Linked DNA regions of Cricetulus griseus. The protein of the gene in region 1 interacts with the protein of each later gene in a pairwise test. Links are inferred from orthologs where the notes say so. Each region holds a gene or a part of one and is shown in the gene's direction. Other genes may lie near its edges.

Region 1 (6,729 bases):
TGATCTTAGATGTTTTACTAGGGCCTAGGCCCCTTAACTGTTATTAATTCACAAACCTTTTCTATTTCCAGTGTGTAACCACTCTTGAGGGTCATGAAAATGAGGTCAAGTCAGTGGCTTGGGCACCATCTGGCAACCTCCTGGCTACCTGCAGCAGAGATAAGAGTGTGTGGGTCTGGGAAGGTGAGTCCAGGTGCCTTTAGGTACAATGGAAAACCAGCTCACTGACTTTCAGCTTTGTTCCTGACAGGCTCAGCTCTTTGGTTCTTTTTTTCTCCCACAGTTGATGAAGAAGATGAGTATGAATGTGTCAGTGTCCTCAACTCTCATACACAGGACGTTAAGCATGTGGTTTGGCACCCAACCCAGGAGGTAAGAGTCAGATGAGGCAGGGAAGAACCCTGATGTGGAGGCTTGTGCCCAGCCTTCGCATACTCTTCCAAATCACCCTCAACTTTTATAGGGATCTCTGGGACTGCCCTGTCCTGACAGGGTTTGATACTGGAACCACCGGTACCTCCTGGGCCATGCAGACAAGTGCTGGGTCTCCTTTCTTACTCTTTCAGCTTTTAGCTTCTGCCAGCTACGATGATACAGTGAAGCTGTACCAGGAAGAAGGGGATGACTGGGTCTGCTGTGCCACCCTTGAAGGTCATGAGTCCACTGTATGGAGCTTGGCCTTTGACCCCAGTGGCCAGCGTCTGGCATCTTGCAGTGATGACCGTACTGTGCGCATCTGGCGCCAGTACCTACCAGGCAATGAACAAGGTGAGGGTCCAGGAGTCAAAGAGACTCTGCCAAGATATATGGTCTACCAAGATACAGTCTGTCAAGAATCTCAGTGTAACAAGGAAGGTCTCCAGAGAATCACTGAAAGGACCAGGGGTAGCTTTGTAGAACAAGGCCTCCAACCAAATTTGAAAAGGATATGTAGAATTTTTTTTTTTTTTTTCCAGACAGGGTTTCTTTGTCACTTTGGAGCCTGTCCTGGAACTTGCTCTGTAGATCAGGCTAGCCTGGAACTCACAGAGATCCACCTGTCTCTGGTTCCCAAGCGCTGGGATTAAAGGTGTGTGCCACCCGCCGCCACCACCCAGCTAGGTTTGTAGAATTTTTAGCAGGAGAATGTAATGCAAGAATTCCAAGTTGAAAACCTAGCAATAGCCACCCCCTCCCCCTAAAAAAAGCTGCTGAGAAATGCTGGCATATACCCTTAATCCCAGTACTCAGGAGGCAGAAGCTGGGGGATCTCTGAGTACAAGGGCATCCTGGTCTACATAGTAAACTCCAGGACAGCCAGAGCTACACAATAAGACCCTGACTCAAAAAAAAAAAAAAAAACAGAAAGAAAAGAAAACACAGCAGCATGATTTGGCTGATGGTGGGAATGTCTAAACAGAATATGAAGAACAGGATCCCTTGAAGCAAGGCAGAGAATTAGAAGAGAGGAGTAAAATAGGTTGGGTTGGCTAGTGAGTGGCCTTAAAGGGCAGATTAACTCATTAGATACAGCCTGTAGTGGAGCAGGGATGCTTCCTTCTCAAAATTAATTCTTGGGTGGCAACCCAAGTGTGTAAGGCAGGTAAGGAGGGTGGGAACACAGCTGGGACAAGGACTCGTTGATTGGCAATGAGATGAGGAAAGGCACATTAGGATCTCCTTTGCAATAGTAGAAGTGCTCAGGACACAGAATGCCTTGGGCTTAAGAGAATTCTGTCGCACAGGGGTGGCTTGCAGTGGCTCTGACCCCAGCTGGAAATGTATCTGCACTTTGTCAGGCTTCCACACCAGGACCATTTACGACGTTGCTTGGTAAGACCTCAGTCCCATTCCAGCAGGGAGTTTAGAGATGGCATGACTGCGTTTGTTCAGATTAGGCCTGCCATTCTGGTTTATAACTGGCTGGTCTGCGGTTCTAGGGGCAGCAAGCTGACTGTGCCTAAGACTATTTCTGGGATAAGATCCGAGGCTTTCTTTCCCTCTCTGAGGAGTGGGGTGGGGTGGGGTGTGGGGAAGGTAAGGAGAGCAGGAAGAGGGGAGTGGGAACTGGATTGGTATGTAAAATGAGAAAAGATTGTTTTAAAATAAAATTTAAAAAAAGATTTAAAATAAAAAAAGGATAGCACCAATCCTTAGGATTTACATAGCATTGGACCATCCTGAGATGATCATTGAATATATGCGTTCGTAACTGAGAACTTTGTGGGTTAGTAACTGACTCTTATGAAGACTAGAAAAGCTGCTCCATTCTTAGAAGAGTAGAGGTTAGAGGCCACTCTGAACCTGAGTCTTGCCGTACACACTTTTAATCCCAGCCCTCAAGTCCATAGAGGCAGCGGATCTCTGTTCGAGGTCAGCCTGGTCTACAGAGCCAGTTCCAGGACAGCCAATGTACATAGAGAAACCCTGTCTCAAAAAATAAAAAATAAAAAATAAACATTTCAAACATTCATAGCTAGACAACTAGAATTTTTGATGTTTTGTTTTTTTTTTAACTTACTAAAATGAATAGGCAGTTGAACATTCCAGATTCAAGTTTTACACAGTGATGGGCAATGGGGGAATCTTCAATGCTTAAAGTAAGTTCCTGACTTTAAAAAGGACTAAATTATGGTAAAACTTGTTAATGTCAATGTTAAAAGGAAGCTAAGGATGCCGTGACATGGGCAACTGCTTATGCTAAGTGGGGAAAGTGTGATTTGTTTGGTCTCATCTGTAGCTGGGGCAACCAGGTGGGAACACCTGAGGACTAGGGCCTTGGTTGGTGTGATAGCTTAGGAAAGCTTTTCTGTGGACACTTAAGCAACTGAGGAACACTTCTCCCTAATTTGCTAGGTTGGAGAGGCAGGAATCATCTGCTTACCCACTAACATGTATGTTCCTCCCAGGTGTCAGCTGACAGGGGCCCTGGCTACAGCCTGTGGGGATGATGCCATCCGAGTATTTGAGGAGGATCCAGGCTCAGATCCACAGCAGCCTACCTTCTCTCTGACAGCTCATCTGCATCAGGCCCATTCCCAGGATGTCAACTGTGTGGCTTGGAATCCCAAGGAGCCAGGGCTCCTGGCTTCTTGTAGTGATGATGGGGAGGTGGCCTTCTGGGAGTATCACCAGACTGCAGGCCTCTGAGCTATAGCTTGACTTGGCCAAGACTTTACTAGTCACTGAGGGGTCATTTAGCTTTATGCCTTTCTGTTTGGTTGTGTAGAAGTCACAAGACCATTCACTGTTTCCCTTCCTTGATGGGAGGGAGCCATGGAACAGAAGTATGTTGTATTGCACATTTTGCTTGATTTAGAGCATGGTGTTACATATTTTGAGGGTAAATATAGTATTTATAATCATTATGTATGTATATAGGAGAATGTGTTTGAGAGAGTTCTGAAATTTTGAGCTTTATAGAAATAATCTGTGTCCCACTTCCTGTTTTATAAATAAGATCATAATTCTACTGTTGGAAATGGGTCCCTTCTTCCCAATTTCTAGAGAAGTCCTTGCATTTAAGACCTGCAAGCCAGTTGTGTTTTCCTAGCACCTAGCACTCAAAAAGCAAAGACAGGATGATTAGAAGCTCAGGGTTATCCTTGAAGCTAATCTAGGGTATATAAGACCCTCTTTCAAAAAACAGACATTCAAAGTTTGTTCAGTAAAAGAACACCTCTGCTCTTCCTTAGAAACCTTCACGTGCCTCTTGAGACATGCTGTGGTGGCAACTAATCCCCCCCCCCAAAAAAATAAGAAAATTAGTCTTTATCGAGGGGCAGAAAATATTAAGACAATAGCTTGTGGCCCTCTTTAAAAAAAAAAAAAAAAAAACCAGCAGCAGGTTGGGATTATACACCTATAATCCACCACTCAGGAGGCAGAGGCCAACCTGATCTACAAAATGAGTTCCAGCAGAGGCCATGTCTCAAAAAACAGAACAAATGAAAAAACAAGTAAAAGGCTCTGTGTGTGTGTGTGTGTGTGTGTGTGTGTGTGTGTTGCCAATCTGGTGTTTTTCAGGGCAAAGAATAATTAGATGTCTAATAAGCCTTCTAAAGAGTGGTGAGGGTCGTCTCCAAAGCTGGAGACTTCACCTAATTTTTTGATACTGTACAATTGTGACCTTAGATTTCTTGGAAGACAGCAGAAGCAGTATCAAAAGCAGCGGTAGGTAATGATAGACAAATCCATGGGAGTCTTAGGACCCTTGCAAGGTCAATACCGTAACATGATCAAGGACTGGCACCAGTTAAATGGCCATCAGTCTTCACTATCTTGTTTCCACAGTAGGAATGGAGACACTTCACTTAGAAAGATGACTAATTATTGTTACACATTGACCCTTGGCAACTTCTCATACTGACAAAAGAGAAAATTCCATCCAGCCCCTCTGCAATGAAGTAAGGTGATCCTAAGGAAAAGCCATTGGACTTTTGTTGCAAGCCATTCATGGAATACCATTTTTATCAGAAAATTAAGCATTTAGGCTTGGCTATTTAATTGTGTTTCTGAAAAATGAACACATTGAACCTTTCACTAATAGTGTTCGCTGGTAATGGTAAATGTTTAAAAGACAGAATTTCTGAAAACTTGTAACAAACCTTAGTGGTAATTAAATTAGCAAATGAGTAGTGAATTGTGTGGATATCTTGAGATCTGTGGAATTTCATGGGTCATTCTCCAAATGGGCAATGTACTGATGTTGCATCTCAAAGGAGAGCCACAATTATTTGAAAACTTCTCTTTTTCTCTGAAGTTAACATGCTTCAGTTCTACCACACAACAGATGAGCATAGAAGTGGCTGGCTTCTGTTAAAGTAGATGTAAAGTGATTGCAACACTGTACCATGTTACCCTTCTTCTAGAACTTATTTTTCCTAAAATATGTTAATGAAATTATTTTGAAATGGACTGCCTTAATTTTTAATATAACAAGTATCAATGACTTTAATAACCTAGATAATAAAAGCTTTCAAAAAAAGGGGGAAAGGGTCTTGAAACCATCATTTGAAAACTGCTGGCCCTGGAGCAAAGTAAATCACCTTTCAGTGTTTTGTTGTTGCTTTTGTTTTATTTTGTTTTGGTTTTTTGAGAGAGTTTCTCTGTGTAGCTCTGACTATCCTGGAATTAGCTCTGAAGACCAGGGTGGCCTCAAACTCATAGAGGTTCACCTGACTCTGCCTTCCAAGGGCTGGGACTAAAAGCGTGTGCCACCACTGCCCGGCCCCCTTCCTGGTACATGTTAACCACTCCTAGTGTGTTATCTCCTGGGAGGGAAGAATTTCAGAACAAAGATAATGAGAAGCCCTATCTGTTGGCCAAGATGGAGTCAGCTCAGGCTGTCATACCACTAACTTTGCTCAGCAACACCCAGAAAGGAGGCTGAGGTCATTCGAATGCCCAAAGAGTAGCTGTCTGCCACTGTTTTGTTCTTCAGTATAGGACAAGTTTGTCCTCCACATTCTCAGTAGGAAGATTCATTGCTAAAATGAGTTTTTCTGGTCAGAGCTTTTGGTTGAAGAAAACTTAGTATCTCTGTTAAGAACAGTTTTTCCAAATTATTTATTAGAATGTCTGACTCAGGAACTACAAAAAGAATGCCTTCCAGCTACTGTACACAGTTTATACTTGACATGACACTTGAAAATACTGGACCCAGAGCTTGAACTGCTTGATCCAAAGTGGGAAAGATACTAGATGTGGACTGGGAACAGCAGAAGCCTGAATGGTCAGACCTCAGGCTAACAGACCGGATCTCCAAAACCAGTTCCCCCTGAACTATCCACATTGCTGTTTCCAGGTTCGATGCCCCTACACATGAGAGAATGCCTCAGATTCAATCTGAATCACTGTCTGTCTCAGCTTCTTTCACATCCACACTGAATTTATACTCCTGGTCACATCCCATGTAAGCATCACTCATGAAGTACAAAGTATAGTTGTGGCCACCTGTGGCTGGGGCCACAAAGTCTAGCTTCACCTAAAGAGAACAGGCAGAAATCAGGTTAGTGGGAACCTGGGGGGAGGCAATCCACCTGTCAAACCCCAGGGATAGATGTGGGATTGAGTGCACACACTCACCTTGGCTTTCTGCTGCAGGGTCAGCCTTTTGATGGAGATGAGGCTGTTGGACTTGGCATCCCCAATCACAACCCACCAGCCCTCTTCACGTTTCTACAGGGACCAAAACCAAGGAAATTGAGAATAGAAAACTCAATGGCTACAAGCAACTGTAAGAACAGTTACTAACAGAGTAACAGAACTCAGATTAAAGCTCTCCACAGTTGCTTCCTGAAACACAGTTTAGTAGACTTTTTGAAACACAACTCTTGGTAGAGTTTCTAAGCAGTCTAAAGATTTCCCACAAAGGACTTAAGTCTTCAAATAAGTAGATAGACAAATTTTTTCAGTTCTACTTCATTTCCATAACTCAAGGCACCTTTTTTTATTTGTTTGTCATTGAATCTAAAATGAATTATTAGAGATTTAGCCTTGGAGCAATGAAGCTTAAGAAGCTTATGTGCAAGGCAAGCTAGCTGAAAAAATCTTAATGTGGAGATGAACCTGCAACAGAGAGGGGCAAGCCTGTGGGGCCTCTTCTGACATCTCGTCTCTCTGGAGAAGCCCTCTCTGTTGGCCACAGTAAAACCAGTCTGCCCAATGGCACTTTCCTTAGAAACTTGAATAATTTGTCTACAGAAGTACATGAAGTTTATCTATCATCTGAACCCAACCTTCAATTCT
Region 2 (7,443 bases), on another chromosome or scaffold:
GAGGAGGAGAGGGAGGAGGAGGAGGAGGAGGAGGAGGGGTTTGCAGAACTTGGGAAAACTGAAAACCCAGAAAGGCAGTTTCTCTGATGCAAGAAGCTATGGCCATCTCAGGTCTGTAGGAAGAAGGATCTTGCAGCTTGATGACAGAGATAAATATTTTAGGAAAACAAGTGAAGACAACATAATTTGGCACCTTTATATAAATACAAAGTCGAAGGGAGGGTTTTGTTTGGTTTAGAGGACAAATAAAAAACTTAGGGATGAAAATAGGGCAAGAATGAAAATTAATGACAAAGAACAATAGGGGTGTCGCAGGAGCCAGGATGTTCAGGGGAATTGTAAAAGGCAGAAGGACCCTCAATACATAGATAGGTGCTCAGGGAGAGGGGACAGCAATCTCTTCTGACGAACATGTGTGGGCCTTCTGATACCCCCTTCCTCATTTCAGAAACCCACAGTCAAACATCCTCACAGTGTAGAAGGCATCTCTGTCCATGTAACTTACTGAAGCCACCACTGATGTTTGACACTTGTTACAGCAAGAGACAACCTCATTGAAATGGTCCTGTTTGGAGACTCTCTTTATTAATGCTTCTTCAAGTGAGAATCCGATTATGATGATATGAGGAAGTTGTGCCATGCTGTGAGGTGGAGTGAAAAAGCACAGCTCCAGAAAGAGCACAAATTCATGACCATATTGCAGAGAAAAAAAAAACAAGCATAAGTGCTCACTCCTGTAAATCCTGGACATTCATAGAAGACCCTGCCAACATGATGGTCCCTGAGAAACCAAGCCTGAAAGGGACAGAGAGGCTGGGACTCAACTCTGTCCTCTAGTGGTTGTAAATGATTCTGAGCCCAGGAGTCAAGTCCAAACAGGAAACAGGATTGAGTCAGGCTGAAGTTTCTGTCTGCCAAGGCACTGGTGGCCTCCATAGCCTGACTGACAGCAGGCAAAGGAGAAAGTCTGGTAGGGAGGGGCTAAGGAATAAAGTAAGTTCTGCTTCCTCGGGGCAGATCAGATTCAAGTGGCCTAGTGGGAGGTCATCCAGGATCCACATCAGCATGCCCTGGGGTGAGAGGCATAACGAGCTGCACACATACCCTGGACATAGTGCCATGCTGGCTCTGCTACTAATAGGGCCTACAAACTACCTAACACATCCCCTTTGCCTTGGAAGCCAAGCCATTCTTTTGCCCCAACTCCAGGTCCAGTACATGGGGAACAGAACAGTAAATGCAGGTGTGGGGCTAGGAGTTTCTGTATCCCCCTGGACAAGGAACCTTGGTGGGAGTTCTTTTAATCAGTCAGTGCTGGAGAGTACATTCAGAACCAATGCCAGAGGAAATGCATTATTGCCATCATTATCCTCTGATAAGTAACAGCTCCAACCACTTCCACAGCCACTGCCAGAGAATGAAAATGTCCTCACCCACCCAGAGGTTTCTAACCTCCAAGTTCAGCACTCCTCATAGCTCCTTATGCTTGACTAGATCCTGTGTTGGATATCCTCAGAAATATCTGACCCTCCTAATGCTACAAGAGACCCTGGGTCCCTAAATGCTTTTGGCAGTTCACTGGGTGGGTACACTACTCCCAGTCATTAGCCCTTCACTAGCTTCTCTCAATGGTGCACCCTCACTCTCAGTCTCGGCCTCTGACTCTACGTAATTGTGTAATTCTTATTCAAGTCCCTGTCCTCTGCAAGGGTCTTCTGCACTGGGAAGAAGAGAATCAAGGGCCCACACACCATAGCATTTAAACAGCCAGAAAGTCTGTCTAGCCACAATTAATTCAGTGTCTTGGTTTTTGTCTGTGCTGCCATTAGGCATGCTGTGTCTCACAGACAGGCAACAGTGTGTATCAAGGCCTCCTCCAGAAGTTTGACCTGGGCGCTGGTAGGCTGGGCACAGGGGGTGTGTGCCTGGCATGGTTGTTGTGCCTGCAGTAGAGTTTCTGAATAGGCTAAGGTCACAGACTGCAGTGCACTTCTGACCAACAAGCAGGGGGTAGCCTCCTCCAAGGAGCAACGGAACCCCTTTGAGACACCAGGAACCTTTGTCTTAAGTCTTGAGTCACTGTGTTAACCTCCCCTGTAATCACATTCCCATTGTGGAGTTTTGGTTGGAAAGGAGAGTTCAGAAAGGTCTACGTGGTTCTTGGCCCCAGATGGAGAATAGGGCAGGGCGGACCTTCAGGCGATTGGATCCGGATGAGAACTGTACTCACACACACAGGGAGTGGCGGGGGAAAGGGGGTCTGGCTGCCTTCATTCGAAAAAAATCATTTTTGCTTTCGGGACTCATAGTTTACGAGGTCCGCCTTCAAGTATACACCATCTTATCTATTTTATTTCCTGGACTGAAAGGCTACGTCGGCCCTCCCCAACTCATACGTGAATATGACGTTTTTCAATGACGCCTCTCCCTTATAGGCTTTTCTTCCCCAGTGGAATTCAAGTTCATAATCGCTTGTCTACATAAAAAGCATGTAATTAGTGCCTGCTGATCCCTGCTCGGGGAAACCGGCGTGTCTTTTGTGGATCTATGGTTCCGAGATAGCCAGAGAGCGAACTTGAGCATCCGAATGCCCTTTCGGCCTAGCCTCCTGAAGGGGGTGGTAGAGGTTCAATCTCAAGAGGCCCTAGTCAAATGGTTTTAGCTTCTGCGCTCCAGCTCCTGGCAGGATCGCACGGCCAAGAGCCGCGGGAGTCTCTTCTGATGCCCGGGCTAGAACTACCAACATTTTTCCGGCTTCCGCAGAGTAGCAGGCACAACAAATACACTGATCTTGCAAACTACCCGCCGAATCCCGGGAGACTGGCATGTCCCTTGCGCGACCCCGTAGTCACACCACGCCCTCTACTCATTCCCAGGAAGTGCGCCGTAGCAGCGGAAGTACACACCACCCGGGGGTTGTGGGAACCGCAGTTCCGGGATGGTGGGCGGCGGTGAAGGCGGTGGCCGGGTCGGGCTTCTAGAGAACGCCAACCCCCTCATCTATGAGCGCTCGGGGGAGCGGCCAGTGACGGCGGGCGAGGAGGACGAACAGGTGCCCGACAGCATCGACGCCCGCGAGATCTTCGATATCCACCACTGCTGGGAGCTGGCGGACGGTGGGGGTCTAGGGTACCGGGAAGAAGTGATGTGCAACACGGTGGTGGAGGGGTGTCCCGGTTAGGCATGCCTGCGGAGGTTTTGAGTGGGCCAAAACTTAGAGTTCCTTTTCCTTCACTTGGCACATCTTATTCGCTCCATTAATGACCCGGAGCATCCACTGACGCTAGAGGAATTAAATGTAGTAGAACAAGTTCGGATTCAGGTGAGTGTCAGAATGTGATAGCTTATCCAAAGTAGTTTAAAAGGTCCCATTATATGTTAAGAGGCTGGCGTTCTCCATTCACAAGCACCTAAGAGGATCTTTGGGCGGGAGGTTGTTTTTTCCAGTTTAGGTAACTTGCCCAAATTTTAGTAAAGAGAGGATTTCGGTGCTAGGGGCGGTCGTGTAATCTTTATAATCTCCTTGTCAACACAGGTTAGCGACCCTGAGAGCACGGTGGCCGTGGCTTTCACACCCACCATTCCACACTGCAGCATGGCCACACTTATAGGCCTTTCTATCAAAGTCAAGCTTCTTCGATCCCTTCCCCAGCGTTTCAAGGTCAGTTGGAGTCCAGCCTAAGGGTGAATGAAACAACTACTGAGGAGAGGGGACATCAGAGTGGAGACTGGAAGGATCCCAACTCGCAGAGACGAACTGCGAGGAAACGTCAAGCTGATTTGACAAGAATACTGGAAATACTCCAGAAAATAGTGAGGAATGTGGTAGAAAGGGCAGCTGTAGATGGGCTTGATGGAGGCACTGGCAGACCTTTAAATCAGTAGCAGCTGACAAGGCCCTTGGGTAGGTTGACTGCAGGTGGACTTGGGGTGGGACGGAAGTGCCAGAATCGAGAGGCACGATTAGAAAGATGGGTGGAATGGAGGTGGTTTCTGGAGGGAAGGGACCAAAAAAGGATGAATAAGTGCTCAGGCCCAGGTTGTCTTTCTTCCAGATGGATGTGCACATTACACCCGGGACCCATGCCTCGGAACATGCAGGTTAGTGTGAGCTGGCGGGGAAGTTGATCCCCCTCTCCCCTTGGGCCCCAAACTGTTGAGACTTCCCCTTTGCCACAATAGTTTATAAGGAAGGTTAGGACTAAGGGGGGTGGGTGTCTAGGTGACTAAAGAATTACCAGACTACAGCCTAGATCAAACTGGCCTGACCTAAGTCTCCTCCTTCCCATGAGTTTCTCTCCCATATTCCCCAAGGACATTGTATCAGGTTTCTGGAATAGTGGAGGCAGGCTAAGTACTCCCTGGAGGTATGTAGTATTCCTGAAAAATAAGAGAGTATGGGCACAGTTGATAAGGAGTCCTGGGAAGGTGATAGGAGACCTTTATTGGTAGAGATATAATCTGTCCTGAGGCTAGCAGCCTGGCTAAAGTTGCTTTAACCCTCTTTTTATAACCCTCTTTCCTACCTAGTGAACAAACAGCTTGCAGATAAGGAACGAGTGGCAGCTGCTCTGGAGAATACCCACCTGCTAGAGGTCGTTAATCAGTGTCTGTCAGCCCGATCATGAGCCTGGCTTTTGACCACCAGCCTGCACACAGGTGTCCTGGCCTCAGCTCCACCAAGGGCTTGTGGCTTTGTTTTCTTGAATCACTGACAAGGAGAAACTAACATTTTTCATTTTGTAATAAACCCTTAATTTATATTCATTTCCCAGCATGCCTTAGCATCTTCCATGATGGAGTCATTAGGGGTTGTGGAGGGGAGAGTGGTGCCTATGAAGGATGTGTCCATGAGGTGCCCCATCATTTTTTGATTTCTCCCAGTGGGACTGCAAAGATGGCTCAGCAGTTAAAAACACTGCTCTTGCAGAGGACCTGGGTTAGGTTCTCAGCACCTACATGGAGGCCCACAACCATCTGTAACTTCATTTCCAGAGGATCCAATGTCCTATTCTGACCTCTATAAGCACAAGGCACACATGTGGTACACATACCTACATTCAGACAAATACTCATACACATAAAATAAATCAGTAAGCTGAGTGTGGTGGTGCACCTTTTAGTCCCAGAACTCAGGAGACTGAGGCAAGCAGATAATCTGATTTTTGAGGCCAGCCTAGTCTACACAGAGAGTTTTAACTAAAGCTATATAGAGAGGCCCTGACTCAAAAAATGAAAATAAATCTTTTTTTTTTTTTTTAGCTCTTCTAGTGCTTCAGTTAGCAAAAGTTGCAAATGAAAAAAAAAAAAATCTTTAAAGAAATATATAAATACCTGGATAGCCAAACCACCAATGGATTCAGTAGTTTCAGTTGACCTGTTGTGACACTGGCCTTATTTGTGTGTGTTTACAGAACTATTTCTAGAGGAACCTACAGAGACATAAAGAACTATGTCCTAAATTGATATAAGTCTGCTGTCTTAGTTTCTTTTCTGTTGCTGGGTTTTTTGTGGGTTTTTTTTTTTGTTTGTTTGTTTTTTGTTTTTTCGAGACAGGGTTTCTCTGTGGCTTTGGAGGCTGCCCTGGAACTAGCTCTTGTAGACCAGGCTGGTCTCGAACTCACAGAGATCCTCCTGTCTCTGCCTCCTGAGTGCTGGGATTAAAGGCGTGCACCACCAATGCCCGGCTTTCTGTTGCTGTTTTAAGACCCCATGACTAAGGCAACTTATAAAAGAAATGTTTATTTTATGGTTTACAGTTTCAGAGGGCTAGAGTCCATGATGGCACTGAAGTGACAAGGCAAGAGCTCACATCTTAATCCACTAGTTGGGAGTCAGAAAGAGAGGGACACTGGGAATAATATGAGTCTTTTGAAACCTCAAAGCCTACCCCCAGTAACACACCTCCTCCAATAAGTCAACCCCTCCTAATTCTTGCCAGTTCCACCAGCTGGAAACCAAGTATTCAGATATATGAGCCTGTAGGGGCCATTCTCACTCAAACCACCACCACATCTGTATAACACAGTTCTTTATCTGACCAAAAATTGAGCCATTCTGATCTGAGAATAATAGTGCATGCCTGTAATTCCAGGTCATCCTTAGCTAGTAGTAAGTTTAAAGTTAACTTACATGAGCCTGTCTCAAAACAGCAAAAAAGCTAATATCCAGTATCCAGTCACATATGAGTTTTCCAGAAACAGTACTTGGATCCTTCCCAAATTCTATATGTTGTATTTGGTTCTCTCTAGCATCTAAGATTTTCTCTCCCCTTCCCACTGGTAATCAGTTTTCCATAACTACATACATGAAGTAACTTATAAAGGAAACAAGTTTGGAGGCTGGAGAGATGGCCAGCAATTAAGAACATGTACTGTTCTTCTAGAAGACCTGAGTTTGGTTCCCAGCACCCATATCAGATAGCTCAGGACCACCTGTAACTCCAGTTCCAGAGGATCCAACACCCTCTTCTTGCCTCTACAGGCACTTAGCACACCATGTGGCATACACACATACATATAAATAAAAAATAAATTGGGTTTTGTTTTGATTTGCTTTTTTTTTTTTTTTTTTTTAGAAGGGGGCTGCAGAGATGACTCAGCAGTGTAAAGTACTTGTTCCTCTTGCGGAGGACCAAGGTTTGATTACTAGCATCTCCATGGTGGCTCACAAGCATCCATAACTCTAGTTCCAGGGGACCTGATGCCCTCTTCTGGCTTCTACAGGCACCAGGCATGCCTGTGATGCATAGGCATACATGCTGGCAAAATTCATAAAATAAATCTTTTTTAAAATCTTTGAAATAGATTAATTTTGGCTTACTGCTTTGGAGGTTTTGGTCCATTGTAATTGGTAGTGCTGTTTTGAGTCCTGTGGTGAAGTAGCACATTGCTACAAGAGTATATAGCAGAGGGGAAAAAAAAGGATTAAGACCAGCCAGGGTTACAGTCCATGCTTCAAGTGCATGTTCTTGAAGAGCTCCCATTAGACACCCCCCTGTCGCTCCACTTGGAAGAATAAGCCTTTGACACTTGGACTTTAGGAATGTTTTCAGATCCAGGCTATAGCCCCTACCCTTGTACATCTTAATTCTGACCTAATCCCCCCACCAAAAAAAAAAAAAATCCCAGAGGGTCCCACCATGTGGTGGTTCCTTGTCCACAGGAGGTTAGTCTAAAGGCCCAAATAAGCTCAGGTTTGAGGGGTTTGCCCAGGAGTGGTGTGTGTGCTGTGACACTTAACCTGTAGGTAGGGTACCTATTTGTCCACTGATGCTGATGCTTAGCCTAGTCCCCAGGTCAAAATAGTAATACTCATTTTCTCTACTGAAAGGATCCTGGGGAATCTTCATCATCCATCCTTCCAGGGGTTTGTGTCATCCCAGGATGCTGGGTAAGCGAAGTGAAGTTCTATAAAGTGATATGGCTGTGTCTGGGGCCTCTG

Evidence for each region.
Region 2: the proteins of Ciao1 (region 1) and Ciao2b interact in binary tests that used the Homo sapiens proteins (3 or more experiments, as listed by UniProt). The two-hybrid records come from large-scale screens. The link is inferred for Cricetulus griseus from reciprocal best matches to the Homo sapiens genes CIAO1 and CIAO2B.

The regions. Positions count from the first base shown.
Region 1 is NC_048599.1:51,334,886-51,341,614, forward strand, and holds the end of Ciao1 (probable cytosolic iron-sulfur protein assembly protein CIAO1), read left to right. Parts: intron 1-71; coding exon 72-183; intron 184-283; coding exon 284-372; intron 373-566; coding exon 567-768; intron 769-1,724; coding exon 1,725-1,812; intron 1,813-2,888; coding exon 2,889-3,129; 3' UTR 3,130-4,968; downstream 4,969-6,729. Other genes in the region: Snrnp200 (U5 small nuclear ribonucleoprotein 200 kDa helicase), read right to left, coding at 5,822-5,965, 6,067-6,159. UniProt on the Homo sapiens protein: Key component of the cytosolic iron-sulfur protein assembly (CIA) complex, a multiprotein complex that mediates the incorporation of iron-sulfur cluster into extramitochondrial Fe/S proteins.
Region 2 is NC_048596.1:180,904,955-180,912,397, reverse strand, and holds Ciao2b (cytosolic iron-sulfur assembly component 2B), read left to right. Parts: upstream 1-2,899; 5' UTR 2,900-2,938; coding exon 2,939-3,086; intron 3,087-3,242; coding exon 3,243-3,322; intron 3,323-3,535; coding exon 3,536-3,661; intron 3,662-4,055; coding exon 4,056-4,101; intron 4,102-4,530; coding exon 4,531-4,628; 3' UTR 4,629-5,466; downstream 5,467-7,443.